2 linked regions of the Arabidopsis thaliana genome follow. The protein of the gene in region 1 interacts with the protein of each later gene in a pairwise test. Each region holds a gene or a part of one and is shown on either strand. Other genes may lie near its edges. The genes, in order: SEP4 and AT5G41920.

Region 1 (15,883 bases):
TTTAACAAAATCCCCCTTTGGTTGTGAAACTTGTTTAAAGAAACTTATTTTTTCTTGTGTCTTTGTGTGGGTGTGCGATGCAGCTGTGCGGAGCTATTTTCTATGTATGTTGGAGAAGGTGAAGCATTATTGCGGAATACATTTCAAAGAGCTCGACTTGCTTCTCCAAGTATAATATTCTTTGATGAAGCTGATGTCGTTGCCTGTAAAAGGTTTGTCTCTATCTCTCCCAACTCTTGCTTCGTGTTATAGACTCTTCTTAACATGTTTATTTCCTTGGGTCTTCGTAGAGGTGATGAGAGCTCAAGCAATAGTTCTACAGTTGGAGAAAGGCTTCTATCTACACTGTTAACCGAAATGGACGGTCTTGAAGAAGCAAAGGTAAACAAAAGCTCATAGGCTTTTAAAGATTTTATCTTTGTTATTGGGTTGCAATGATATTGATCGGGTTTTGGTTTAAGGGAATCCTCGTCTTGGCTGCCACAAACCGCCCGTATGCAATTGATGCTGCTCTAATGCGACCTGGTCGATTTGATCTCGTAAGTCCTCATATTGGATCTTTTGATCACACGAGTTCTGAAATAGCAAACCTCATTGCTACCCTCTTCTTGATTTAGGTGCTATACGTGCCACCGCCTGATCTAGAAGCCCGGTTTGAAATACTGCAAGTGCATACACGCAACATGACACTAGGAGACGACGTTGATCTCAGAAAAATCGCTGAAGAAACCGATCTCTTCACAGGTGCCGAGCTCGAGGGTCTATGCAGAGAAAGCGGAACTGTCTCACTTAGAGAAAACATCGCAGCAACCGCTGTCTTCAATCGCCATTTCCAAACCGCAAAAAGCTCGCTTAAACCAGCGTTAACAATCGAAGAAGTCGAAACTTATTCATCATTCAGGAAGGCGGCGAAAAGATCTGATTCGAAACCGATTCCGATTAACAAAAAGAAGGCGACTTCCACCGTCTTCGGATTCTCATGGCAATTAGGTGTTTTGAGCTTATTGTTGCTTGCTACTGGAAACTATTACTTCAACCACACTAAACATGAATTACTAGTAGCTTCTGCTACATGAGACTTGAAACAGCTCAAAGTTAAAAAAAGTTGCTAATTTTGTTTTATTCATAAATACCAAAATATCTTTTGTTTCAAAGTTCAAATTTTTAAATAATAAAACGGCTAATGATTATTAGATTCGAACAATGACAAAGATTGGCCATTACACATGAATGGCCCACGAACCTCACCACCGTCGTGAAATTTCTTTAAGCACCAATAATTTCACTGGTTATCTCTTACTAATTAATTACTTTTTACGTGTTCTAATCCAAATCAACAATAATTATCTGATATTTCTTCATAAACCGGTTTTGGAATTTAGCTGAAAGATGTGAATTTTATTTTGTCTTATTAATCAAAAAATTTGAAATCGTTTTGATTTCAATTAAACCGGAACCCTGACACTAACAAAAACCGGTCTGAGCTTATAAATAGAGTGGCTCGCTGATGACTCAGTTAGTCAGCTCCGAGTCTGCGTTTTACTTCTTCTCCTTGAGTTTCTTCTTCTAGATCTGATCGCGAATCACCAAAAGGTTTGTTTCTTAACCCCTAAAATTCCTCCAGATCGCTTTGATTTCGTTTCTCTGATGTCTTAGACGAAGTTAGATCGTAGATTCCTATGTTTTGATTCCTCGATCATGCTTCGAATTATGGTGTTTTTATCCTCAATTTTTGGAGATTTGGTTTCTACGGATTTTGTAGATTCAGGAATTTAGAAATGGTGATTCGATTTCAATGGTTTTAGATCTGATTCAGTCTTCACTCTTGTTCCACTATTTTGAAAATTGGCTAAAAACTAGGTTTCGTCGTCTAATTCTCCCGACGTTCTTCGAGAAATGTGAACTTTGAGGTGAAGATTTTGCGTTAGCATATGTGGTTTTGTATAATTGACGTTGCTACTATTCTGATTGTGAATTTTAAGCAGCATTCACAATTGAATTGAGTCTTCACTTTGTTCAGCTCTGAATCTATCATCTCTGAATGTTGGCAAGTTATAGTTTCTTATTATATTTCGGTGTTTTGGTTTGTTGTGCTAGGTTTTATTTTATACAATGGGTCGTGGAAACAGCTGTGGTGGAGGTCAAAGCTCATTGGATTATCTCTTTGGTGGTGACGCTCCTGCTCCTAAGCCAGTTCCAGCTCCTCGTCCCGCTCCTACTGAGTCTAACAACGGACCTGCACCACCAGTAACAGCTGTGACTGCAACCGCACTCACGACTGCTACTACTTCTGTTGAGCCTGCAGAGCTTAACAAGCAGATTCCTGCTGGTATCAAAACTCCTGTTAACAACTATGCCAGAGCTGAAGGACAGAACACCGGCAACTTCCTCACTGTACGTTTTCGTGTCCGTTTTACTCGAATACCCGTGAATCGAAATGGTAATGATACTCACTCACTCTCTCCCTTTCTCTGTCTATCTCTGCAGGACCGTCCTTCGACCAAAGTTCACGCAGCTCCGGGAGGAGGATCATCCTTGGATTATCTCTTCACTGGTGGCAAGTAAAATAATTGCAAAGACCTTTATCTATCCATTGTCTTTGCTGCGTTATCTCACTATGAAACTGTTTGATGTGAGCCTTTAAATGATAAGAAGTCGGTTTCTTGTCTCAACTCTTATCTGTAATATTTTGCTGAAAAAATGTTTGAATCAAAAACTTCCCAACTTGTCTCTTATTAACCATCAAATGCGAGTACAACTTTTAATCCAATCCACTACACATTTATAAGAGATTTGGCATAACTAAGTGATTCGAAAACAGATTAAACTAGAACCGTCATTTAGGATGTTGAGGAGCAGGGATGATTCCCCATTTTCTACGAACTTGCTCCAAGTCTTCACTAAAGTGACGCTCATAGTACACACACATGAGGTCAGTGCATTGTCTTCCAGCACGAACAGCCCAAGGAAGGTAATGCTTCAAGAACATTGATCTTTGCTTCTCGTTGAACCTCACAGTACCTCCAATCACAGAGAGCATACACATCGGAAGATACATTTGCTCAAACTCGATAACTTTCAAAGACGACTCGCCGATAAGATTCGTAGGAAGGCCAAACAGAGTGTGCCATAAGTCGTGAACTTCGCGTGCCCGTGTCGCTACGTAAGCCAATTCATCCGTCTCCATGAATCTTACGGGCGGACGATCATCGGGAGAGAAGTTTCTAGATCCCATGAATTTAGCATATGCAGCTCCAAATGTGTTTTCTGGTAGATCCCAAGCATGACCTACTTGCTCTGACACAACTCGAGGACGCTCCAATAATATAGCCTTCAAAGTAAAGATACCACCAAAGATCAAAACACCATTGCTTACTCAACAATATAACCAACATCAAGTAAAAATGTTAATCAATTTAACATCACTCATTGCTTACTCCAGAATTACTAAATCGAACAATTTCTAAATCAATCATTCTTAAGCAAAATCAATGATTTGATCAACAATAAGAGAGAAATTGAGTGATTTGAAAAACGTACTCTTCCTTCTTCGCTCTTCTTCATTCTCTCAAGAACCATTTCAAAAGCTGGTTTACCGGTAGTTTCGCCGAGAGCAGCGATTAGATCCGCTCTACGAGGATCAACCAACGCACCGAGAGCAGATCCCATCGCCACGGCCGCTTGTTGCCATCGGCTCAACGGAACTCGAGCTCTTTCAATAATCATCGTTCCTTGGTAGATAATCTCTCTGGTTAAAAACCAAACGGCGATTCTAAGAATCAGATTAAAGTCGGTGTGGAAGACGACGACGACGATTTTAAATCACACGCGCTTATGTCCTCGCGTGGACTTTCTTTCTGTTCTCAAGATTTGACTGAAAGTTTTTGAGAGAGATTTCAATTGGGGCCTTTAGTTTATAACTCCATTGTGGCCCATCATTTAATGTTCAAAGAAAAACCGAAAATAAATGACTGAAATATAAGAACTTGGGCCATTGGGTAAAAAAAACTGAGAGATTCCCTAGTCAAATCCAATAAGAAGAGCTTTTGGCCCATAAATATTGTAACTGATATATAGTTATATGTAGTTAATAAAATTGGCAAAAGCCTCCGGCGAGGATCGAACTCGCGGCCTTTCGCTTACGAAGCGAACGCAATACCACTATGCTACAGAGGCATTGATGCTTAATAAGTATATAATGTAATATTTTTATAAAAATTAATTTATATGTACACAAAAAACAACTGAATATTGTAATTATTTTAAAATCTTTTCTAGAGTAACCCATAGAGAGAAAGAAACAAAATTCTAGAGTACACAAAAACAACAATTTATTCTCAAATTTCAATTCTATCTACACAAGAATTCAATTCCACAAGACTAACCTATGTAAGCTAAATACCATAAAAATGGAAACCTCAAATAAAAACAAGAGAGACCAAAAACAGAATTTCATCTCAAATTTAAATTCTCAACATGTACCCGCTTTCTAAAATTTTTCAAAAAACTCACTTTGACGTTTCCCAAACGTTTGTGTTTCCGCGTATTCGCTTCCAATTTCATGCAATCCAGGTGTTAAGTGTATGTATGATAAAAAAAAATTTTTTATCAAACACTATTTATATTAAGTTATCGAAAAGAGATTTTCTGCTAGAGAGAGCCATTAAGGAACCGATGTGCTTATATGGGAGAAAAGGCTATTACGAGCCCGAGCTTTATTAGCTAAATAATCTGGTCGAATATTAGAATTATGAGGAAGAAATCTAATACGAAAAGAAGGGAAAAAACAAACTAAGGAGTGTATGTATGATAATTACCAAACGGTTATGTGTCAATTATGATTTAATCCCGCAACTTGATAGATAATAAGAAAATGATCCTCCAAAATAACAAATTGTCTGCGTCTCTGAAGTCTCAAGTCTCAACTATCAAGTATCTCAATAGTGTGTATCAAAACTTAAAAGGCAGCAGTAATATGTCAACACGTGTCAGTACAGGCACGTGATGTGAGTATGACTGTTTCGTTCAATCGCAACATATGCTAAAATTATAGTTTTTGGAACCAACGTTAGATCGACACGTAGCCTACTCTGTCCCCTTACCATCAACCTGCGTAAGCTTCCCTCATCTTACGTTCTTGATTGTTAGTTAAAAGCAAAACTAAAGATTTGAAGAGTATCTTCAATAAAGTACAATTATAAATGTTAATTAATAAAATTGAATGTTTTACGACTTTTTTGGCCAACTTCTATTCGTGTTACCTCGTATTATGAACTAGGTTAAAGTTACTTTTTCTAATACATATCTTTTAGAATTTTATACTCCATATGATTTCTATTCTCTATCTCACTCTATAGAGTAATCAAAATAATCAAGCGATTCTTCAAATTCATATAACTTAGAAATATTTGATTCGTTTTAAATGGATCTTGATATTTGATAATTAATTAATAAAAAGATTTGATAGATTATTATAACATATATTTTATATTATTGAACACAAAATGATGATGTAAATACTAAGTTAGCGTTTTTTTAATTTGGATTAAGAAACACATACGGACTGAATTAGTGTTTTCTGATATGATAATCTAACAATCATAATCTACTTACGATCATATATTATATAGGCGAACAGCAGCAATTGCATGGGTTGCATATATTATCTATATTATATATAGATTTATTTTTCAGACGGTTTAAAAGTTCTTTTTCAAACAAGAAACATCTAACATGTACTATATTTGCAAAGCCAGAAAGAGCTGTTAAATTGTGAAAGAGATTCCAATAAATACTAGACGCAGAAAGGCAGAAAAAGTTGTTACAAAATCATGTCTCAACATTTTAAAATGCCTATGGTCCATCGAGTAGTAACTAGGGTTTTAGACCATCATGGGGTCTAATTAATGTAGTTTCAATTTGTTAGTCTAATTATACGGAAGAAACCCTGCAAAATGATGTTTGTAACCTATAGCCATTTAACAAAATTTTAATATTTTGGTCTGCAAAATCATATTAAATGATAATCGTACATACAAGGGACCTCTCCCCAACAGAACAAGAGAATTGCTACTAGCTACTAGTTACCCCAAATATATACATACATAAATGAACAGAATTAATAATTGAGTTTCTGAAAATGACTATTGTTTTTTTTTCTTTCGAATTGTACTAATAAAATAGCTTCATGTGGTTCTTGCAAAACTTACCTTTTTTTTATGTCAACCACTCACATTAAATTTAAGAAAAAAAAAATTGGTTATATAAACTGGAGAACAATACTTTACAAATGAATCAACAACGTTCCTAAGTCTAAAAGTATGGATAAATCAAGAATTAATTATGAGTTTACCATTTGTGGCATTTGTAAATTTTTCATAAAATTATAAAAATACGATTAACATGTGTTTTATTCGTTATGTTTGAATTTATTAGGTTTTATGTGTTCTTATAAAGTATGTATTTTAGTATTAAAAATCGTAAATTTAATAATTTTAAATGATCAAAATAGTAAATCCGTAAAATTTTAAGAAAATGGCAAAATTCATAAATGTCACTCCAAAAAATAGTAAAAATCCTTAATAATTTCAGAAAACACTATGTTTCAGAATTGAAAAAAACGAGAAATAAAGACAAGAGAAAAAAAGATACTAAATATATCACACTAGCTCCCATGGAGGAACTTAAAATCGTGAGAAAACATTTTGAAGAAAACTTGTCACTTTCATGCAGGTTAAGTATTATCAACTCTTAGATATATATTTAGCTCATAAATAAACTGACTAGTCTACATTAAACTTTAGTATACAGAGAAAAAAGGAAGATAAATCTCGTATTTTGAAATTTTTGCATCAATCATGCATCTTAAGCCTGATATTAAGATCTGAATTCTTTCAATAGAACGATCCAATTGACATCTTATTTCTAATACATCTAGTTGAACAATAATATTATCTTCTGCAAATATGACTAACTAATACTTGAGCCTTATTCCAAATTTTTCGAAAACAGGACAATAATGTATCATAATTATTTCTTTCTAATTAAGCTTATCATATATAATTATGCATCATTTAATAACTCCTTTTTCTTAAGTGATTACTGATTAGAATGATTAATAATGTATAGACCATCTCTAGGAGTAATTTGTGGAGACGTATAGAAAAATAATTATTATGACTATTAGGTGAGTACCCACGCTATGCGTGGGTTGTTGTTTTGAAAATTGTTTAGAAAAATTATGTTTAACTATTTTTATTGTTAATTTATGTTATTTTTGTGTATGGTATTTTGTAGTTAATAAAGTTATATTCATTTTTTGTAATTATATGTGTATAGTTAGATTCACTTTTGATTCAAATATCAATTATATTCTAATCTTTTTTCACTATCATGAAATACTTACATTAACAATACATGATACAATGGTATGCAATTATGTTTACTTATTTGGTTTGAAAGTTATCTAAATTGATTCTAAGCAAAAAATTCAATCTATGTATTCTCTCCTAATCTAATATTCCAATCATAGGCTCATAGCTAAATATTGGATTGACTTGATTTGAATAACAAATGTATAACTAACTATACTCATTTGCTTTAAAAGATTTCACATGAAAGAGAAAAAAAAAAAGCAAAAATTAAATAGTATTTTAGATCAACATTTTTAGGTTTCTCTCTTTGCATTTGCATATATCTCTATTGGAGAGAGTGTCGTATATTAAATTTTTTAGTATATATAACATCTCAAAAGACCATTACTTAAAAAAATATGTATGTAATTATTAATGTTATCCATTTATCGTAAAGCACAAAAAGACCTTATCATATAGAAAAAAAAAGTAATAATAAGAAAATACTAAGTTAAAATTCTAAACTAATAAAAGTTAGCAAACAAGTAAGTTGCAATACCCGAAAATTTCTACTCGTTATCAAGTAATGACTATTAAAAAATAGCAAAATAAGAAAAGTAAAATGAAAGTAGTGTTTAATACATTAACATGATTTTTCATATTTTTTCTTTTTGATGAAGACATTTAGTTAAGAATGGGATTAATGGGTGATTCAATGCAATGTGATTTTTTTTTTTTTATCACTAAGTTTTGTTATTTTTTAATGATATTAATTTAGAATGACATGTGGCACTCATTGGTGTGATGATGTGTTACTCATATGGAGAGTGTTGGCCAACTTTCATATATATAATTTTATCAGAGATCATTTCTAAACTAGACATTTTAAAGTTGTGTATTATCTACCTAAATTATCCATATAAAAGATGGAATAGCACATTGCAAGTATTATATCGTATTTATTCTTTTTAGATGTTTCCTAAAGCATCAATCTATATGTTGCATGTTGTAAGGTCACAACTTGGAACCATAAAAGAATGGTGGAGGATAGCAAGTGCGTAGAAGATAAGGATCATTTTACATGATAATCTGGATAAGACATGCGCATATACATCAAGTTTCCATCAACAAGATTTATAGTACCCAAAAGAAAGAAAGAAAAAAACTAATATTCCATCGATCTATAGAAGTTGAACAAAATAACTAAGGTACCAAGTGAAATATGAGTCAGCAAGCAAAGTTAAAAAAAAAGTTGTGTGAGACATATCACATGAGTAAATTAACAACAACCATCATCATCATGATGTAGATAGTATAAGATGCCATGAGAAGAAGTGAGGAAAAACAAATTAACCTGACAAGAAGCATCCTAAAAAATTAACCTGTCAAACAATTACCAACCTTTAAAGTGAAAAAAAAAGTTGAAAACACTAAGGCTTTGAGAGCTTAAATGTTCATAAACAATTTTCCTTTTTCTTGCCAAGATCAATCTGCAATTTTTGTGTCAAGCATGTACGAGTTATTGTTATAAATAAATCTAGAGTCGTTATGTGAGTTCTACTGTATTTTATGAAAATCGATTAACTAGTAAAATACATCAGTCTTCTTAAGAAGAGAACCTAAACACGAAACCCTCTAATAAATGCTAGATTGCATATTCTTACACATCTATATTAGTGTCAAAAACATGATTGGACTGATTTTATAGTATTGAACAAGAACGTGACTAAATTTTCAGAAATTGGAAAGAAAACAAAAACATGATATATTTCAATATCTAAATTTCACCATATATATATAAAAAGACATAGTGCATGTGAGACGTAAAAACCTTTGTAAATAAATTTTCTCTTTAAATAGTAAATAGTACCATATCAGATTAACCATTTCAGAGTGACATAATTTGTTTGTAACCGTATAGATCCGTTTTATGCATTAAAACGATCGTGAAGTAGCTGTCATACGAAAGAACTTGTCGGCAAGAGAAGCAAAGCATAAGCAGAAAAAAACATATCTTTTAGAAGCCTATCATTTTCTTACTTTTATTCACAAACACACACAATATACATTATAAGTGTTATCTACATAATCTAAACGTGTCAATACCTGAAAAAACAACAAAACTTTATTTGCACTTCTTTCATTTCATGAACAATACATAACCAGATATTAGATAGGACTTGGACTTGTGAATATGCTCTATTTAAGGCATCTTTATAGGTTATATTTAGAATCTTTTTCTTATTTCTTTTTTGAGCATATTATTAAACTATGGACTAGATCTGATGAAAGAAAGCAATCTATTTATATATTATGGTGTAAATATTATCTTTAAAAAATCCAATGGAGGAGAGTGAAAGAGAAAAGTTGAAGCATTTTGTTTGGACTATAGAGAGAGAGAAAAAAAGATCTTAACTCTCCTTAGAAAAGTACTAGGAATCAATTTTTATTTTCTGCAAAAACAAAAGTGTAAAAGAAAATTAATAATAATATATATTCCCTGATGAAGTAAGACTAAAATAATGTAACTACACAAAAATACTTTTTAGAATTTATAATATTTTATATTAATTTTTAAAAAAGGAAAGTTGATAAGATTGGATATAAGTTTGGAAGCATTTATTTGGCCAAGAATGGCTTAGCATCTCTGCAAAACCAACACAAAGCTATATTCTCTTAAAAATCAGTTCAACAAAAGAAGAACCTGAACACAGTTGGCCCACCACCACCACTACCACAATCTCCTCCTCCACCACCACCACCTAGTCACCGGAAACCAATTCATGCCCTAGATTAAGAACCAGAATCCTTTTGAGACAAGATCTATATATACACTCTACACATTTACTTATACACTTTATCTAGATATAGATGTGTGTGTGTATAAAGGTTCTTTTTCATTACTTGTTGGTTTAGTGATAAAAAGGAGGAGAGTTTTCAGTTGGGTTTTGGTTTCTTGGTGAGAGAAGAGAGAAAAAGAGAGGATGGGAAGAGGGAAAGTTGAGCTGAAGAGGATAGAGAACAAGATCAATAGACAAGTTACTTTTGCAAAGAGAAGAAATGGTTTGCTCAAGAAGGCTTATGAGCTTTCTGTCCTTTGTGATGCTGAGATTGCTCTTCTCATTTTCTCTAACCGTGGCAAGCTCTACGAATTCTGCAGCAGCCCTAGGTGAAAACTCTTTAATCTTTGATATATCTACTTTTTCCCTCAAAGTTTCTATATTTTGATCCATGTTAGGGTTTTGATTCTTAAGGATTATAAAGGATATGAAAACTTTGTTGTCTTTCTTGATTTAGTTACAATTAATTAGTTGATTAACTACGGTTTATTTATTTTGTGAGTTCATACGCATAAATCTGGCTCGTAAAGAGTGAGATTAAGTGAACGATGATCAAAGTACGTACAAAGCGTCTAAGTTGCTCTAGATGATGATTAAAGCTAGAGAGTAGAGACTATGGCTGAAAAAAGTACAGTAGATATGTGTAGAAGCTATAGAGCATATATAAATATAGTTAAAGCTTTTACACATGAGATTGAGTGTTGTTGATATTGTTTCCAAAGGATTGATCAGAGTTTCCAAAGAGACTAAGAATTGACCTCTGGATATATACACAAAGCTGTAAAAGATATAAAAAATACTTTGACTACTTCTTTAAGTTAGTATCTCTCTCAAGTACTACTTATGATCTTATTAAAGTTATAAAGAGACAACTGTGATGATACTCAATTTCACTAGCTACTTATCATTTCCACATAAATTTATTTTATTTTTCTTGCACAAACATCATGAGATTGATACCCATTTTGATGTTCTTGATGTTTTTACATGGAGATGCTTTTAAGGTTTTTTTTCTATATTATTCTCATAATGAAATTTAAAGTTTGGTTTATCAATATATGTTAAAAGTTAAAATGATCATTTGTTTTTATGAAAAGTGGTATGGCGAGGACGGTTGATAAGTATAGAAAACATAGTTATGCAACAATGGATCCAAATCAATCAGCTAAAGACTTGCAGGTACATATCTTCTCTTTCAATCAAAGACTGACCTCAAAGTTGTCCTTAATTTTATTTTAAATTGGCAGGATAAGTATCAAGACTACTTGAAGCTTAAATCAAGAGTTGAGATCCTTCAACATTCACAAAGGTACTTATATATCCTAGTCCATCTAAATGTAACTATATATGCTCTTGTTACTAAATGTTTCTTCTTTTTAGGCATTTGCTAGGTGAAGAGCTATCCGAGATGGATGTGAATGAGCTTGAGCATCTCGAACGCCAAGTAGATGCATCACTAAGACAAATAAGATCTACCAAGGTATATTTCTAAGCTTACAAAATCGACAAATTTTGTTTCGAATCTTTCATCCTAAATCGTTGTTTCGTTTTCATTGCCAGGCTCGGTCTATGCTTGATCAACTATCTGACCTCAAAACTAAGGTACATACTTTATATAATAAAAGTTGCACAATATCCAAATACAACAAGCTCTCATTTTCTCAATTTACAGGAGGAAATGTTATTGGAAACCAATAGAGATCTTAGGAGAAAGGTAGCTATCGGAATCTTTTACCGCAAGAAACTGAAACCATTTGTCATTTGAAATCTTCCTATTCTTTCTTTCTCAGTTGGAGGACAGTGATGCAGCACTTACTCAATCGTTTTGGGGAAGTTCTGCTGCAGAACAACAACAACAACATCAACAACAGCAACAAGGCATGAGCTCTTATCAATCAAACCCTCCAATTCAGGAAGCAGGTTTCTTCAAGCCTCTACAAGGCAATGTAGCATTGCAAATGAGGTATCTACAAACAAATAGTCAAGACCCTTGAATTATTTTACCTAATCAGAAATACTTAACATTTGTTTGTGCTTCTTTATTGTTTTGATATAATTAGCAGTCATTACAATCACAATCCTGCAAATGCAACCAACTCTGCAACAACATCACAGAATGTTAATGGATTCTTCCCTGGATGGATGGTCTGAAAACAATACATATCTATATATGTACACATATGTGTGTTTTATAGATCAAAGATCATTGCTTGTGTCATTTGATTTTTGCCAGAGAAACATAGTTCATTATTACAAAACTTTGTTATATAATCAAGGCTCTAATGTCAAACACCAGATTATTACTTTTTTGTTCTTTGTTTTTTGGCTCTCTTGAAATATAAAATATTGTTTTGGGAGCTTATTTTTGTTTTATTTTTGAACATCATATGAATTTGTTAGATTATGACAAAAGTTCTCCGGATTAGAACATGTCTCAAGAATTGGATTCTGAAACAAGTAGTGCTCTGCATTTGTATTAAGATTGTGATGTTGATAATTAAAACGACTAAATAATTTTTGCCAGGTTGGATTATAATGAACAAGTCCAAAATGTTATTTTAATTTTATTTTCATGGCAAGCACGTTCAAGAAATGGCTCCAACCAAAAACCAAACAAACATAACAGTATTTAAAACACAACTAAAACCTCAAAGAACAGAGAGAAGAAAAACAAGAATTAAGAAAATGGGGAAACCAGCAGGGTATTGGGTAAATAAGATTAGGACATCATTCAAAGGAGGATCATCGTCGAGCAAATCATTAGATGAAGGAAGTACTTCGGGTTCGAGAAAGAACGGTTCGAAGCATAGTAAGAATCTGAAAGCAGAGGATGCTAATAAGAATGGTGAAGGAGGAGGAGTTCAAGCTGAGAGTGGGAGGAAAGTGATGGTTGTTGTGGACACAACTTCACAAACTAAGAATGCTCTTCAATGGGCTTTAACACATTGTGTTCAAGATGAAGATAATATCACTCTTCTCCATGTCACAAGAACACCCGTAGGACAAGGTATATTACTCATATGTTGCATTTACTAGAACCTTTAATATAGAGGTAAAACCATTAGAGCCAAAACTCGAAACCTTGTTATATATCTTGCCTAGAAAACAGGGTGAAGACCGCTTCTTTTGGGTTTTTAGGCGAATCAGACCTTAGATTTGGTTTTGGGCTTTTTTGGGCCCAATGTTGTTTTCTGTGTGGTAGATTTGGTTTTGATTTGAGTATGGACAGGACTATAGCATATTTGACATCTATACCTTATTGAGTCGCTATTAACTAATGTGATCATTGTGTTAATAGCTATAGATGAGACACAAAGGGAGAGAAACTCAAGGGCTCATGAACTAGTTCATCCATTGAAGAATTTTTGTCAACTCAAGAAACCTAACGTAAGCTTTAAGCAACAGCAAACTGATATTGATTCAAAAGTTCTCCTTTGTTGACATTAAGGTTTATTTTCAGGTCAAAACGGAGATAGTGGTGGTTGAAACGGCGGAGGAGAAAGGTAAGACGATAGTGGAGGAATCAAAGAAACAAGGAGCAGGCGTTTTGGTGTTAGGGCAGAGAAAGAGAACCTCGAAGTGGCGCGTGATTTGGAAATGGCGTACGAAGGGAGGAATGGGAGGAGGAGTGGTCGAGTATTGTATTCATAACTCCGATTGTATGGCTATTGCCGTAAGGAAGAAGAGTAACAATGGAGGTTACTTGATCACCACGAAACGTCACAAAGATTTCTGGCTCTTGGCTTAATTTTTATTTCAAACAAATTCATCCCAAAATCTTTTTTTTTTTTTTTTTGTAATCGAAACGAATCTTTTTAAAGAATTCATGTTTTATGGATTAATTGATAATCTGTATTCGTTATAAGACCTTTTCTTATATATGTAAAGACTTCATATTTGTCAATGTTTGTTATTGTGTTCTACCTCAAAGTATAATAGAATAGTAACATTAAGCAAAGCTTTATCAAAAAGAGAGAAATAGTATAAGCAGAGAAAGAAGTCACATAGAGCAACATTATTTCATAAAGTAATATTATTACTTCAACATATAACGGTCATACCCTCCGATATCTCCTCCTCCATTCCCGACTTGAAACCGGTAAACACATGCTTTGGTGACGGCTCCGACGGTAACGACTGTAGTTGTAACGGCGGTTATTGTGAAACTGAGGTTGATACCTATTAGAGTGAGGACAAACAGGACAGTAATAGTTAGGAGACCCATATGATTTGCTTTATCTCTTTTGTTCTTCTACATATTACTATCATAAGCAGAATTATAAGTTATATTTAGTTGTCTTGTATGGGAATAATAGAAGTTACGTTATTGGAACAAAAAATAAGGGGAGGTCAAGATTTGAATGGCTGATTTATTGAAACGCCAGTTCAATTTCCTAGGACGTGACCAAGACTAGAGAATTTATTAATGTAATGTAATTGCATGTTCCCTTCGAAACAACGTTTCGGGTTACTAAGCAAACTTTTAGATATAGACGTCTTGGGAATTTGAATGCTTTTGTTCATAATCAATGAACGACAAAGGATAGTTTGTACTAAGTTAAACCGTTCTGACTTCTCGTAGTGATATATTCAACGGAATATTGTGGTTAGTGCGAACTCATCCGTCAGTAGTCCAATCCATACTATTTTTGGGATGGACAATAAAGCGATGCAGACTTAGTTTAAAGACCGTCTGCAGTTAGTCCGCAACAGTTTTCTTTTATTTTTGGGGGTCCGCATCATTACGGACTATAATTTGTGAATGATAAATAAAAAGCGATCCAATGTATAGACGCTTTTGTCCGCTTAGACAACTGTAAACATTGATATATTCTCTAACTTGTCAGTAGTTTATTCTCTAAAGCCTACATTAATATATATGCCTATTATATAACCTGTAAGTAGTTAAAATAGAATAAATTTTAATTTCACTAATCTCCTAATAATAGGCTAATACACTAATCATTTATTTTTGTAATGTTATTTTTCTGGCAGAGTAAACGAGAAAAAAAAAAAGATAGAGAATGGAGATACACTAATCAAGGTTGAGAAACTATTAATCACTTTAGTATAAGGAAAATAAATCATAACTTTAAGTTGATAAACTTAAAATTTTAACTATTAAAATTTTGGTGCAGCACAAATTAATTAAGCAGTTAAATCGTATTACATAAATTATTTAAAGAGAGTATTTAAAAATAGACCAATATAAATAGGAAATATACTCTAGTGAGCCCAAAAGATGACTAGTTAGTAAGTACAATGCTTTAAGTTATGTTGAAATAATATGTGAATTAATCTTTAATGTTATATATATGGTTTTCTTCTTGATAAAATCATAAGAATAAAACGCTGAAGACATCGTCTAGCCCACAATTGGGTAGACCAAATTCTACTCGATATTGTCAAGATCTAATTTGCAACCAACTCTTCATGCGATACAAATTTTGCTATTACGTTCCTTTTGCATGTACCATTCTTAATTTTAAGTAATGTTTTGTAAGTAAATATTTTTGTTGAACAATTAAATTCATATCTCGAATAGATATCACATGAATATAATAAAAGGCGGACAACTCCGTTGTCAAGTGGATGCTTCTTGGGTAGCAGATGGTAACACATCCGGTCTCGGATTCGTGATCGATACTCCATCAGGAATCTTACTCGGTTCTAGAGGTAAGTCAAGAGCTC
Region 2 (15,883 bases), on another chromosome or scaffold:
CTCAAAACGTTCCACATAGTAGCTCATTCCCTAGGCTGCATTTTGGCTCTTGCACTCGCAGTAAAACATCCGGGAGCTATCAAATCCCTTACTCTTTTGGCTCCTGTAAGTCAATTATACATACCCTCTACGAATCGATACTCGAGGAATAATAAGCTTCCGACTTAATGCTAATTGACAATAAGTGGTTATAATATGGCAGCCATATTACAAGGTGCCAAAGGGAGTCCAACCAGCGCAATACGTGATGAGGGAAGTGGCTCGGAAGGAAGTTTGGCCACCGATGCAGTTTGGTGCATCGGTGCTTAGCTGGTATGAGCACCTAGGCCGCACCATTGGCCTTGTCCTTATCAAGAACCATCAATTGATTGAATTTGTCACCCGCCTCCTTACCCTAAACAGGTACATATATTTTTTTTCATAGCAAGGTTTTTTATATGTCATAAATGGAAACCTAAATAAACTTGCTCTTAATCACGTTTCAATTTATTTAGAATAGATTTTATTTTCTTTTCTGGTGATAAACTCTAGAAGTTTCGGGTCTTTGGAAACTAGAATAAGCAACATCTAGAACAGAGAAGTTACGTCCACAATATTTGGATAACTAGAATAAGCAAAATCAACCCAAATATTACAGTGCATGCTGTTCGTCCGTTCGGAGAACAACGAAATGTGTAAAAGTCTATACGTTTAATGAACCAACCACTCGTCTTCTTCAATACCTTGAAGTTGACTCGGAATGGTTATATTTAATGAACCTACAACTTTTTTTTCTTTATGTAAATAATCTTTGATTGGTACACTATAGTGGTTCTTACATAAATTATGTGATACCATATTAGGAATTAATAGACGAGTTATGCAATCTAATAGCTTTATGTAGTAGAAAAAGTTGCCTTGAAACATAGAAAGCGACTTATAACGACCGTGTCTCCTCCATTATTTGGCCCCATTCAATTCCATTTTGTCGTTTCATATCTTAATAAGTATATGTATAACTTTTAACTATTTATACGCCATATAAATTAATTTATTTTCTTTCTATGTATGCAGGATGCGAACGTATTTGATAGAAGGATTCTTATGTCACACACATAATGGATCATTTCACACATTACACAACATCATCTTCGGGTCAGGAGCCAAGCTCGACTCGTATCTCGACCATGTCCGTGACCATGTGGACTGCGACGTCGCCATTTTCCACGGTGGCAAGGACGAGCTCATTCCTGTGGAGTGTAGTTACAGTGTGAAGAGCAAAGTGCCACGTGCCACTGTCCACGTCATCCCTGACAAAGACCACATCACCATTGTCGTCGGCCGACAAAAAGACTTTGCACGAGAGCTTGAGCTCATTTGGCAAAGAACCAAATCAACTTAAGTGAATATATTTTATAGTGATGAAACTCTTTTTTTCTTTTTTCTGTTTCTATTAAGTATATATTTTTCTTATTACAAAAGTTAGATAGATATCGTTTTCTATTCAATGAAGATTTTGTTTTAGTTTCCCAAAGAAAAAAATGTCAAGCCTCTAATTTTATTTTTCTTTTTATAAAAGAAAATTAGAGTATACGTGTATTGATTTTTTTTTTTTTTTTTTTTTTTCACATACGTGTATTGCTCTTGAGAGCCACTTCCGGTTATACAAAGAGTTTATGTGATTGTAATCGAATACTTTAATGTTTGTCGGTGTTAGAAAAAAATCGGTGATTAATGGTCTTTATTTGTTTTCCAGTCAGATTCATCATTCAAGTAATGTTTGTTTAAACGGCTTTTGTGCATTTTGGTATATTTTGTTTAAGAGTTTCTAAGAAACTTAACGAACATATATAACCTTTTCCAAAAATAAAATAGGTATAATTTGCTTATATATATTCAACTAATATCTTGTTTTTATTTTCCCTCATCAAAAAGAAAAAATTTAAGACTCTGTTTTTTTTTTTTTTTGAAAAGAATGTAGCAGCCTCTCTTAGACCACTGAAAATATTCGATCCTTTAAACCAAACAAAAAAGATATATATGAAGTGGTTGTGTGTTATCGAATAGTCTAATATTTGTCGATGTTAGACCAAATTCGGTGACTAATTAAGAGAATAACATGAATATTCGAAGTTGTTTTTTTTTCTTAATAAGATTTGAGTGCAACATGTGAAAGAGCGACTCATAATATTACAATGTTCGATAATTAACCAAGTGGTAAGATTTAGTTTCGGTCCTAGTAATCAGTTTTAAGAACCGTTTGTCAATAGATGTACTTTTTATATTTGTCATAATCATCTCATATCCATGGATTAGAAAATTAGTTAATTTAGAAAGAAAAAATATTAAAATACAAATTAAAAGAAGAAATACAAAAGAAATGATTTTCGACAAGAGAGGGAATTAAATGAAATGGGCCGACCATAACCATATTCTATGATGGTGAAATAAGACGTGGGCTTAGTTTACTTCTCAAGTAGTCTCTATCAGTCTATAGTTCGACTATGACTCTGTGTGAGCCTATTGAATGCATTCACGAAGAAAAATACCTTCACGATTACAAGTAATACCATATGTACTGTCAGAATACACGTTGATCAAAAATAAAATTTCAAAAACTATATAGTTTATATATAATTATTGATAAAAATAAGTGTTGCGGTAAAGTTTTATTAGGTATGGTCGGTAATGAAATCCGTATGAAACTTTCCGATGGCTTAGCTTCCGTATCAACATCAAATACACGAAAGTGCCTAAGGAACCTATCAAGAATACATGTTTCGGTAGCGTGTCAGCTCAGTCGAAAAACCACTGACCACCCAAGCCAAGCTCTAACAATGGTATCCAAAACTCAACATATATTTTGTCAATTTGAGGATTGGGAGAAATTATTTAGGTCACGATACCTAGTCGTTGAAAGTCAACTTACTAGTTCGAATTCTGAAACGAAAAAAATATATATTTTGATTTGAACTTCATATGATTCGTGTAAATCACCACATGAGTGTCCTAAATAACTTTACCTCATATTCTTGTTATAAAATTTTTATTTACTCTTCAACAAACGATTCCTCGAAAGATAGCTGCACCAATCCTCGGAAGATACCGGAAACGCGTAACTGTTACATAACGATAGTGAAAATCTTGCAAAATAGCTTATCGATTCCAAAATGCCTCAACATGGTAGGACAAATTAACGTGAAGGGTGTTGTGGATTTTGGTGTCCTTGAAAATGTACATATATCTGTTTTGTATTTCTTGAAGATGCTTTATAATGAATAGCATGTACAAGTTTTGTGAATGTGTTTGAATATTTCTTTGTATTAAAAGATATTTCATATAAATTTGTTTCATATATGATGGTGTTATGCCTAGTATAGGCGAAGTAACCAATGATTATAGTTACCATTAGTTATGATTGTTCGAGTGGCATTTTATATATAGCATTCCTATCTACTTAGATAAATGATAAACTACAATATTAAAGTGTTTGTGATGTCATTTGAAATGGATTTTGAAATTAAAACTTAGAAAAGTGATATCGGAGCATGGTTGGATCATGTGCTCATATAAGTGGAAAAAAAATCAAATGTTGTTCGAGTCAAGATGGGTTACAAACATATCAAAATGCAGATTTTTTTTTTCTTAGGTTCTATTGGATGTTGCCTAAAGATCATTGCGGGGTTGCCAACATAATTCTTAACACACCTACACTAACTTACTTTCTTTCAACTACCCCCTGCGCAACATCTTGGTATTTTTAGTATTAGCCAAATTAAGAATGGCAGTAGCTAGTGGTTCACCAAACTTATGTGTTTTGTCTTTGTTTTTGTCTTCTTTAGCCCGGACCACATTCAATTATTTTTTTTACCACATTTATAAGCATCAATGTTCCTTCAATGGCTTCAAAGAACGTATCAAATACATTGGGAGTTTGAGACATATATCTGGAACAACATAGTACATCTGTATTTTTCCTCAAAAATATGGGGACTAGAAATTTTTGAAAGTAAACTAAGCTATATATCTATAAATTAAAAGAAAGACGATAGAGAGATGCTAGGTAGATAAATGTTTTGAAATAAAACAATAAAGAAAGTGTAGTTGGTTTAAAAACTTAAGCATATATCTTTTCAAGATCGAATGTTATTCCACATTATCCCATTGTATTCACTTGCATGAATAAACACTCGTCGCATCTTAAGGCATATATATATACACATAAGAATTAAATTAATTAATATGCAAAAAAAAAGAGAGAGACAATTAAAGATAATATGAATGGTATATATAGTTTCACCCAAAAAAACATGAATGATGTATAGTGACAAAAACATAACAAATGTACTTGTTACATTAATTATATATAACCGGTGTTGGACAAATGTAAAAACATAACTGAAAGTGTGTTTTAAATAAGATAAATAGTACTACAAGTTAAACATGCAACTATATTTATAAAAGTTAGAAAGATCAAAACGGTTTTTACAAAGTTATCTAGAACAATCATATGAATAAGTTTTTTTTTTTACTTCATCTTTTTTCTTTTCGCTGTAAAGACACATTCGAAACTTTATAGAGTGAGTGAAATAGGATTGATTCTGTAGTTTCACCTTTGTGAATCATACGTTTCCAAAGATATAAAGTAAAAATGCAACAAGAAGAGAATTCACTCAAATTCTATTAAAAGTAATTTTTTGTAAGCATCACCTAAAGCAAAGCATCTGCTTCTCTCTTTTTTTTTTTTTTTTCCTGCAAGCATCTGCTTCTCTTATCCCATTCCACTTGTCCTTCTTTATTCTTCTAATTCTTTCCACTTACATAAATTCAGGTTTTTTGAAACAATAGATAAGTAAATATATAAGGAAATGAAACAAGAAACAACCAAAAATAAAATAATTTAATAATATATTTACGAAAAAGCTGACAAATAAGACTTTATTGAGTATATACATCGATCTTGAATTACGTTTTAACTAGTTTTTCTGTGATTTTGAGCATAATATACATCAAAACTCGGTTTGCTAAGTTTATGAATATTTGTTCTCCGTACATATACATGATACACAAAGTAAGAATCTGCTCTTGTTTTCTTCTAGCTATAAAATTAATTCCGAAGTCAACTATCAACCTCAAACTTGTGTAATTAACCTATACAACCAATTCATCACTTGAGATTAAAAAAGTTCGTAGCAAAACCAAACAAAGTAATCCATTACCATCCATAGAAATTGAAGTTGCTTGAACTTCAAAGAAACAAAGCTAAACCAATTACCACAAAAAGAGAAGATGAATGAAACCAAATCTAACCTGGAGATAGTTTACTCAAAGAAGGAAAGATCGAAGCGATATAATTGAGGGGAATGAAGCCTGGTCCGACGTCATTAACCGTAAAATGATCATTCATGTATAGACTAATGAATAAAGAAGAGACATATATATATAATCAAATATAGATCTAAGTTAAGGGCCTCGTGCCAGACAACATTCCCCTCAAAAGGAAAAGCTTCACTGAAGAACATGGACTCCATATAAGAAAACCCTAGCTTTTAACAGAGAGAGAGAGAGAGATGAGCTTAATTTATAAAGAAATAAAAGCTGAAAGAGGAGGAGACAAGAAAGCAATGATGAAAAGAAGAGAGGGAGGATATTATTAGGAAAAGATTGTGGAAATGTAGGGGGTAAAAAAAACAAAAGCTTAATAAAAAGGCAATTCGAAAAAGATAGAAAAGTCGAAAAGAACAAACATATATTAAAGTCATAATGATAAAAACAATTTGATGACTTATTTCCACCTCTTTTTTTAGTTCATCTTTGAATCTAATAATAATGATTTCACATGTAAATCCGTGAGTCGTCAATATTCTAGCTCTTGGAATAAAATGAACGTAAAACTATCTCGTGTTTTTTTTTTAAAGGAGTCAACTATTTTTTCTTGAATATATTTGATTTTGAATGATTACTAACTAAAACCTTAAAAGTCTATAGTCGTCGGATCGTTTTTATTATAATGACCAAAATTAAGTCAAGGTGTCTAATGAGAAAGTCAAAAGATTAGTTGAGAAAGGACCCAATATAGGTAAATGAATGAAAGATAAAAAAGAAAGAAGAGTGGTGAATTATTAGAACATGATTAGGTTTGGATTTGACGAAGATGTCATTAGAGAGAGAGAGAGAGAAGTGTCTTCACCGTCCTCATTTACTTCATGTGACAATCACATGCCTCCCATCTCTCCCTTACCCACACATACAATAAAGATACTTTCAAATACATAATTTTAAATTAGTATTTGACAAATACACAAATATTCTACATAGGTACAATACATAATAACTAGTAAGAAAGACCGACATTTTTTTTTTTATGAATGAAAATTATTCAGCCAAAGACTACATTTACAAATTACAATTACATGCAACTTTTTGCCAAAGTTTAAAGAGAAGATCAAAGTAAAAACAGATTGAGGTTTAGTTGGTTCGAATGTGTTTTCGTTGATACTTACGTATTTCGGTATCAAGAACACGATTACTAAAACAAATTTTGAAAGCAATGTTAAATACTTTAGAAGGAGTTACGTTTTTGATTTATGAGTATTCTTTCATCTAATATTGCAAAACAAATTCGTTTAACGAAGTCATAGAAAAATTATTTAAAATTGATATACAATAATCTTTTATCTATTTAGGTAATATTCGGAAAATTTTAGATCGAAACTCATACATCTTTTTATCGGAATATCAACTTCGCAACCTTTAGAAAATCCTATGAAACACAAATCTTTAAAAAGTCATAGAAAGCTACCATTAGACCAAAACCACTTGGTTATAGGTTTCTACTTTCTACCACTAAGATATGTAACATTATTACTCTTTGATCATATTCACTAATCATTTCGATTGTCATAACATATATCACCAAAACTCATTTGCGTTTTTAAGTTTTTAATGGAACAGAGGCACACCAAACTCATTTGTGTTTCGAAGTTTTTGCTGTTCATGTTGGAGGTAGACTCAAAGTTCTTCAGGACTTAGCTCACTAGCTGACTCTGCATCCCCAAAAGGTCGCTGTATGGTTTCAGAATAGACGAGCCAGGTCCAACACCAAGCATTACGTTGGATGCCGGTTACGAGTCTCTTGAGCCTCCTCCCTATGGACAGAACCGCGTCCTTCATCTTTCTTTACAACAGCTCACATGGTGTCACTGAAAACTGGTTTTCTGCAGCTGCAGGAGAACCAAGTATTGATATGGAGACTATAAAAGCAGAGCCATAGTGTCTGATTAAACGAAGCAGAGCCATAGTATCTGATTAAACTACAAATCTGTATGATCCCTTGGTAGTTGAAATAGTAAAAGCGTGAAGGAAGTGATCAAAGACATTTATCAAAATGTGTTTGTAAGAATGGTTGAGAAAAGGAAATATATCTTTGAGAGCATGGTTTTCGGTGATGAGAACTATTGGAAATAGTAACACAATGCTTAAACACACAGACCATCAATATATAAATACCACCCTCTAGTTGGAGAGTGGTCAAACAGAAGCCAATCTAAACACGATGCTTGTGTAGTTAACATTACTACAGCTAAAGATAATGAGAAGCTTCCTTTAACCAGAGATAAGACAAAAATTGAAATTGCAACCAACTCAATGCAAAGCCATATCACTTCTTCTTTCGGCAAGAAGATTATCTTATACAGAACCAAGATTAATCGTCCTAGTAAAAAGCAAATCTTATGTCTCTGATAGGAATCTATCACATACTAGGTACAAAACCCATCGATAGAACTAAGAGACTAGTCTATTTGTAACCTATGAGTGACTATTTAACAGCCTCATGAGTCATGACCTCAGAAAGCTAAGGAGAAATTCTCAAACTATATTAGTCAAGTGCAAAAGAACCAACGGATGTTATAGAAATTCCAAGAAGGCTTGTTCGTTTACATCCTCATTGATCTACTTGAAAATTTTATTCTAAAAGGCAAGATTCATAGCTCTTATAGCTCACTCTTGACCTTAGCATCCCCATTTGGTAACACACTTTGCGTTTGAGCCAACCGTTTTGCTTCCTGAATTCAAATGAAAATAAATTTATCACCTTGACTAACTATTGTAGAAACTATCTCAGATGAGAAACAAAGGAACGTCAACAACTTACAGCAGCATAACTAGCACGTATGTCTCTATACCGATCGACTTCATCAGGAAAAGCCTGTTCAAGCTCCTCCAAGAGATGTTTTCTCAAACCCTGTACCAAACAATGTCGACTTTAAAATCATGAGTGGCCAAATTGAGAGAACCAGTAGAGCAAAAGGAGTCACCTTAAAAGCATCACTCTTTCCCTTTGTAACTTGATTTTTAGCAATGCAGTTCTTATTAAGAACATCTTTTGTAAACTCATCTGGGTTCTTCCCATCATCAATCAAGCTACAACAAACAAAGATATATAAACATAAGAGAGCAACAAAAATTCTCTAAAGAGTCTAAAAAGGGACTTGTTCTCACTTAAGAACCTCAATGGGGACTTGAATGTTGCATTTATCAGACAACTTAGCCATATTATCAAGCTCCATCACAAGAGAATTGCTGCAGATAGAGACAAAATTTCAATCACACAATACTCAAAACAATGGATCAATAGAGAAGAAGAAAAGTTACAGGCGTTGGAGGAGGTGAAGCTGAGAAGCAGGTGTGAAAGAAGAGACGGTGAGTTTTAATTGATGAAGGAGTTCTAAAATTTTCTGATTCGAGTTTATAATTTGGTTCAGCTTCTCATTTGAATCGTCGACGGTTGCAATTGCATTGATTTCGGTTTTTATCGAACCGTTGATTTCACCAATTCCGGCGATTGTGTTCTGTGTTTGATCCATCACCGAATAACTAGAAACGCGATTAAAACACACACAAATTAGGGTTTTGAATCACGGAAACATAGAGGTTGAGGGAAACAATTTATGTAGAGATCAATTCCAATTGACACAACTGGATGAAATTTCTGGGAACGATGAAACCCTAGGACCACCGACGAAGAAGAAGAAGAAGAAGAAGAAGTTCAGAGAGCGTACATGGATGGATTTGAGAAGAAGATCACAGGCGCAAAGTCAAAGTGGTCAAAAGAAAATTAACAATCGAGTTTTGAATTTGTTGTAGTCATTAATGGGCCTTTGGGCTTTTATATGGTTTTCAATGGAGTTAAGTCATGTCCATTTACGGTTACTTAAACTAATGGGTCTATTGTTTTGAACTTTTGATTTTAAAAGGTGGAGATGGTTCTGAATCTCTCTGGTTAAGTATCAATCCATGAGACCTTTTTTTTTTTTTTTTGAATGAATGTGTGAAATTATATTCAACTAAAACAACTGTTTTACAAATCAAATTCAACTAAAACAACTGACAAATTAAATCTCTCTGGTTAAGTGGTACATTTTTAATGTCTCTAGTCTCTACACATAAACGATTAACATGAGAGTTCACCAAATCTTTTCCAATTGGGTTTGTTCACTTGGTTTCGTTGGTTTTAATCTTCACAAATAAAAAAATGGTTTTAAGTAAATAGAAAGAAAAAAGAAAAGAAAAAAAGAGTAATCGAAGGAGCTGTAATCTTCACAAAGAGCACTTGATTATAACATTGAATCTTTTGCAAAAAAGATAAAAATCTTTTCAAGAAACTGATCCATCCAAAATACTATCTTGTCTTCACTCTTCAAAATTCCTGTCATTACTCTCTCGAACCCTTTCTCTTTTCGAATCTCCACTTTTTTTTCTATCTTCTGCTTCTTCTTCTTCTCTCTTCAATGATTCCACTCTCACAAAATCTCCATGACTACAAAACGCATAGACAGAGATCTCCCATCTTCCGACGATCCTTCCTCCGCTAAACGCCGTATCGAATTCCCCGAAGAAACACTCGAAAACGACGGTGCTGCCGCAATCAAACTCCTTAGCTTACTCCTCCAATGCGCCGAATACGTAGCTACTGATCATCTCCGTGAAGCTTCAACACTTTTATCCGAAATCTCCGAGATATGTTCTCCGTTCGGTTCCTCGCCGGAGCGAGTCGTCGCTTACTTCGCTCAAGCGCTACAAACGCGCGTGATCAGCTCTTACCTCTCCGGCGCGTGTTCTCCCCTCTCCGAGAAACCACTCACTGTTGTTCAGTCTCAGAAAATCTTCTCCGCCTTGCAGACTTATAACTCCGTTAGTCCTCTGATCAAATTCTCACATTTCACGGCGAATCAAGCCATTTTTCAGGCGCTTGACGGAGAAGATTCCGTTCATATCATCGATCTCGATGTTATGCAAGGTCTTCAATGGCCGGCTCTATTTCACATCCTCGCTTCACGTCCTCGAAAACTCCGATCAATTCGAATCACCGGATTTGGTTCCTCCTCCGATCTACTCGCTTCAACTGGCCGGAGACTCGCCGATTTCGCATCATCGTTAAACCTCCCTTTCGAATTTCATCCAATTGAAGGCATAATCGGAAACCTAATCGATCCGAGCCAACTCGCAACGAGACAAGGAGAAGCTGTGGTGGTTCATTGGATGCAGCACCGGTTATATGATGTTACAGGGAACAATCTCGAGACGTTGGAGATTCTACGGAGGCTGAAACCGAATCTGATCACGGTGGTGGAGCAAGAATTGAGCTACGACGATGGAGGAAGCTTTTTAGGAAGATTCGTGGAGGCTTTGCATTATTATAGCGCGTTGTTTGACGCGCTAGGAGATGGATTGGGTGAAGAGAGTGGTGAGAGATTCACGGTGGAGCAGATTGTTTTGGGGACGGAGATAAGAAACATTGTGGCGCACGGAGGAGGAAGAAGGAAGAGAATGAAGTGGAAAGAAGAACTGAGCCGGGTCGGGTTTAGACCTGTTTCGCTTCGGGGTAACCCGGCGACACAAGCGGGTTTATTGTTGGGTATGTTACCGTGGAATGGATATACTTTGGTTGAAGAGAATGGAACCCTCCGTCTTGGCTGGAAGGATCTCTCGCTTTTGACTGCCTCTGCCTGGAAATCTCAGCCGTTCGATTGATTTTATTTTTATTTTATAATGCAAACTGCAAAGTGATCATTAAGATTTTTTGTTTTGAAAATATTTCCAAACAAATTACGATAATTACGATAAAAAAAAGTCTTCATTGACGCAAAAAGTTGTTGATATTGAGAATGAGAAGGTTGTTGATACTAAAAATGAGAAGGTTCATGTTAGATAACTATATGCATAAGAGAGGTTCTTGTTAGATAACTATATGCATAAGAGAGGTTCATGTTAAATAACTCAATAAGCATAAGAGGTTATGACTATACACATATCTGTTAATAAAGTCAGCTACAACAAATAGAAGGTCTAATATCATAGACGATACCACCATGAAAAATCATCATTTCTCATAGTATTCATGAAAAACATCAAGTGGAATTTTTATGAGACCATCAACTTCTTACATTTAGTGAAACTGGTTTTTAATTTGTTCCTTCAATTCTTAAATCAAATCTAGAATTCATACAACTTGAGATTCTTAGAAAATTCAGGATACTTGTCTCTTTTTTCTTCTTTTTTTGTACAATTTTAAAAGAAAGATGTAGTGCAAAAGCCAAAAATCGAAAACAAAAACCAAAAACTAACAAAATAAAAATAAAATGACAACCATTCTTTTTTTTGGGGGGGGGGGGGGAGGAGGGGAGGGGGGGAAAGAAGAAAGAATGACCCAACTGTATGAAGGCCCATTAAAAAAGTGGGCCCAATTTCTATAAACGACCTTCGACTTTTTCAATAATCAATTTTCATCCAATTCAACTCAGGAAATTGCTATGATTTTACTCTGAGAATCAGAAGAAGAAATCTCGGTGAGCAAAATCCCTAGTTTTGGGATGATGTTTCCACGACTACGATTGACGAAGGTCTTCTTCTCCCCGATCATCGCCGGGAAATGGATCGTCTTTGCCGACGGTAGCAGCGGCGGCGGCGTTGGTAGAAATGGCTACTACGGTGGATTGTGGTCGTCGGCCGTTATTCCTTCCAATGTTGGTTTAGCTGTCGCTGTCACCGTCATGGCCGTGGCCGTCGCTTTCACCGTCTACTCTCGTAGGTATACACACAAAAACGATCTGATTTATGTTCTAATCGATTTCTTCAAAGCAAAGAAGCAATGCTTGTTCACTACTTAGTTAAGTAGTTATTTGGTATCCATAGATTTGATTGGTTCTTGCTTCTTTGTTACCTCACCAATTCGAGGCTGGATCGTCATGCCTTTAGGTTCGAAGAATTCTCTGTTAGTTAGGTTATTGTGATTGAGTTCTTGGTCCAATGTTAGCTGCTAACTCGTACTTCCACTACCTCTTCTTGTCATGGAACTTGTAAGACTCTCAGGCTGAACATAGTCCTGGCCATATTCTGTATTCATAGACTCTGATGCGTATAATGATTTTGAGGCTCGAAGCACTAAGGCTTTTTATAGTATAATGAGGGAAAATGTAACCAATGTTTAATGTTTACTTTTAGGTTGTTTGCTGGGTTGTCTCTTTTTGTATGACATGCTCTCTTGGTTAGTATTGAACAAACAAAGTGATTCTAGAAGGGTCCTTAGGTGGAAGTCTGAAACTTCATGAACTTTGTATAAACTCCTAAAGGAACTCTCGATAATCAACTCCCCAAGCTTTGTATTTGTGTTTCTTCTTTTGCAATTTTGTCAGATACATAAGCTTTTTGTTGCTAAATCTCTTATCATCGAATTCAGAAATCTGTTTTTGTTGTTATAACTCTTTCTACAACCCAAGCAATGAAGCTATTTTGTTTAAGTTCTGCATCATAAATATGCATACCATGAAGAGTTGGATCGAATAATTGCAGCCTGATATGATCTTTTGTCTTCTGGTCCTTATTCTAATTCTTGGCATCTCTTGGACTGTTTCTGTATGTAGTGATGAAGTGGTTAAGAGTCTTAGGTCTTCTGATGTGTGATAGAACTCCATTGATACTTTCAATTATTTTTAACATATATGAATATAGGACATAACATGTACCATTTAGCCTGTCTTATTTGTTCAAAGAAAGCTTTTTATCACTACATTTGGTTTGGTTTTATGTAATTTTTTTTCTTTCTAAACTTACTGGACGAAGTTGCTCATTTTCTGCTCATCTACTTCTTCAGAGGAAGCATTGGATCACCGTGGTCACTAAGGAGAAGAAAGCGAGTTCTTCAACCTAAACAATGGAATGCTTTTTTCACAGAGGAAGGGCGACTCAGTGATGGAGGTGTCAAATTTCTGAAGAAAGTTCGTAGTGGGGTATGTTGCTAAATAAGAAAAAAATCTGCTGTAATCTGCAGTTGATAACCTTTTGACACTTTGATATACTAATTTTTATTTTTGTTTCAGGGTGTACATCCAAGCATCAGACCAGAAGTTTGGCCGTTCCTTCTTGGAGTGTAAGAATCAGCATCTTGTCACTTTTCCTTGTTTTTTGTATACTTTTATGAGTTTTATCTTTTTCGGCTACCATTGGGGGTTTTCTGTTCGGCCTTATGTTCATACTCATGCATGGTCTATTGATATTAGCTTTTTCTTTGGGGATATTGATGTTATGTAGGTTTAAGGTTGAATAAACAGTGCATCAGTAAAGCATTCATTAACTAGGAGATCAGAGAGTTGCCTTAATGTTTTTCTATCAAGAGATTTATAAGATTAGTCCTAGTTTCGCCATACCAAACTCCACCAGCCGTCGCCCTACATTCCATTAACTTGATAATGAAACCTGTGCAAGTTATTTGTAGTCTTTATCATCTCGACACATTGTAACCTTATGCTACTTACCTCTCACAGGTATGACTTAAAGAGCAACAAAGAAGAAAGAGACTCCATTCGACAGCTGAAACTGTATGTTTGCTTATACTTATTGAGAGTTTAATGGCTTCTCAACTTTCTACCAAATGTTACGTTTCCCATTTATCTCTGTTCTCCTAGGTGGCAGCTGGTTATTAACTTGCTCAATGTGTTGATAAAACTAGGAATAAGAAGTAGTAGTTTGGAACTCCTACACTGAGATTTCGAGTCAGTTTGTAAGTAACGTCTTTTATATCTGTAAATCCTGCAGGACGGAATATGAAAACCTGCGGAGACAGTGTCGCGAGATTCATGAACGCTATGAAAATGTCTGCGACTCAAAGGAGACAGCTCAGAGCAGCAACACTGAAGACAGTCAGGTTCTTGAATCCCATGATATTGAGGAAGTCGAGAGTTCCACAAGAACCATCACCGTAGATGAATCAGAGAAGTTGAATTCTGAATCGATTATGCAGGATGAGAACTGTGAAAAGAGCGATGTCACCACAGAAGATGCTGCTGGTAATGATTCAGACTCAACCAATCCTGAAGAAACCGAGACTTCACCTTTTCTAGCTAACGAAGAAGTAGAAAGCCACAATACTGTTAACCAAGAAAAAGAAATTTCGTCTCCATCATCAAAGCCAAAATCTCAGGCAGCGGACGAGGATTTCATGTCAACTTGGCAGAGAATTATCCGCCTAGATGCTGTGAGAGCAAATGACGAATGGGTGCCCTACTCACCAACTCAAGCTGCTGTTTCTGAGACAAAAGCCCGGGGAATAGCCATTCAGGTTGGTCTCAATGACTATGACCACTTGGAACCCTGCCGGATATTTCACGCAGCCCGCCTGGTCGGGATCCTTGAAGCCTACGCAGTCTATGATCCAGAAATTGGTTACTGTCAAGGAATGAGCGACTTACTATCTCCTTTAATCGCAGTGATGGAAGACGACGTCTTAGCATTCTGGTGCTTTGTTGGCTTCATGAGTAAAGCACGGCATAATTTCCGGTTAGACGAGGTTGGAATCAGGCGGCAACTCTCAATGGTATCGAAAATCATAAAATTCAAAGACATTCACTTGTACCGACACTTGGAGAACCTTGAAGCAGAAGACTGCTTCTTTGTATACCGTATGGTTGTAGTTCTGTTCAGACGAGAACTAACCTTTGAGCAGACGTTGTGTCTCTGGGAAGTAATGTGGGCGGATCAAGCTGCAATACGAACTGGGATTGCGAAGGCGACATGGGGGAGAATCCGGTTACGAGCACCACCGACAGAAGATTTGTTGCTTTACGCGATAGCTGCAAGCGTGCTGCAGAGGAGGAAGACGATAATAGAGAAATACAGTGGGATGGATGAGATAATGAAGGAATGTAACAGCATGGCTGGTCATCTTGATGTTTGGAAACTTCTAGACGATGCTCATGACTTAGTCGTCAATCTTCACGACAAGATCTAAGACTACTTATATCTTTCACTCTTGTTCTCTCTCTTTACTTGTTTGTTGCATTCTTTGTTATTTGTTACATAAAATGTGATAAAAACCGTTGTCCTAAAACGCATGAAAATGTCTTCACTATTGCTAAAATTAAATGTAGAAAAACTTAGCCAAACGAGAACCCGCTGAGGCTAAAAGAAGGACTTGACTTTATTTGGTTTTAAGAGCCTCTGGTTGAGCTAGAGGTGTATAACTGTAACAAACTAACTATTCTTCGTTTTCAATTTCCAGATACATCAGATCTCTTCTTCATCTTCTTCCTCTTGGGAGACTTGATTTATTTTGTGATCAGTCTCGGATTGTAACATACTGCGATCTTTTTTCAGCTTCTCTAATGGCGGATACTGTTGAAGAGCCTCAATTACAAAATGGAGCGGCACCAGCTGAGTCCGAAACCGAGCAAAATCCGATTCCGGAACCACAACTCCAAACTGAGCCCAAACTAACCGGAGAAATTCCGGAAATAGAAGCGGATTTAACGCCGGAGGAAGTACAATCGGAGGTAACGGATGCAAAGCCAGAGGAAGTACAATCTGAGGTAAAGCCGGAGGAAGTAAAAACTGTGGTAACCGATGCGAA

The links.
Region 2: the proteins of SEP4 (region 1) and AT5G41920 interact in binary tests that used the Arabidopsis thaliana proteins (3 or more experiments, as listed by UniProt).

Annotation. Positions count from the first base shown.
Region 1 is NC_003071.7:1,119,286-1,135,168, forward strand, and holds SEP4 (K-box region and MADS-box transcription factor family protein), read left to right. Parts: upstream 1-9,982; 5' UTR 9,983-10,336; coding exon 10,337-10,521; intron 10,522-11,289; coding exon 11,290-11,371; intron 11,372-11,439; coding exon 11,440-11,501; intron 11,502-11,572; coding exon 11,573-11,672; intron 11,673-11,752; coding exon 11,753-11,794; intron 11,795-11,864; coding exon 11,865-11,906; coding exon of another isoform or gene 11,907-11,957; exon of another isoform or gene 11,958-11,982; coding exon 11,983-12,155; intron 12,156-12,252; coding exon 12,253-12,343; 3' UTR 12,344-12,553; downstream 12,554-15,883. Other genes in the region: CDC48B (cell division cycle 48B), read left to right, coding at 84-212, 291-381, 462-539, 618-1,076; SPR1 (spiral1), read left to right, coding at 2,113-2,394, 2,488-2,565; AT2G03690 (coenzyme Q biosynthesis Coq4 family protein / ubiquinone biosynthesis Coq4 family protein), read right to left, coding at 2,837-3,331, 3,541-3,726; MRH6 (Adenine nucleotide alpha hydrolases-like superfamily protein), read left to right, coding at 12,878-13,199, 13,491-13,579, 13,653-13,940. UniProt on the Arabidopsis thaliana protein: Probable transcription factor that binds specifically to the CArG box DNA sequence 5'-CC (A/T)6 GG-3'. Plays an important role in the determination of flower meristem identity. Involved in the specification of sepal identity.
Region 2 is NC_003076.8:16,770,187-16,786,069, forward strand, and holds AT5G41920 (GRAS family transcription factor), read left to right. Parts: upstream 1-9,456; 5' UTR 9,457-9,795; coding exon 9,796-11,013; 3' UTR 11,014-11,238; downstream 11,239-15,883. Other genes in the region: AT5G41900 (alpha/beta-Hydrolases superfamily protein), read left to right, coding at 1-105, 203-402, 1,054-1,381; AT5G41908 (uncharacterized protein), read left to right, coding at 7,097-7,252; MED10A (Mediator complex, subunit Med10), read right to left, coding at 7,974-8,045, 8,135-8,224, 8,298-8,403, 8,482-8,562, 8,635-8,846; AT5G41940 (Ypt/Rab-GAP domain of gyp1p superfamily protein), read left to right, coding at 11,853-12,070, 13,133-13,268, 13,359-13,408, 13,803-13,856, 14,074-15,265; AT5G41950 (Tetratricopeptide repeat (TPR)-like superfamily protein), read left to right, coding at 15,639-15,883. UniProt on the Arabidopsis thaliana protein: Probable transcription factor involved in plant development.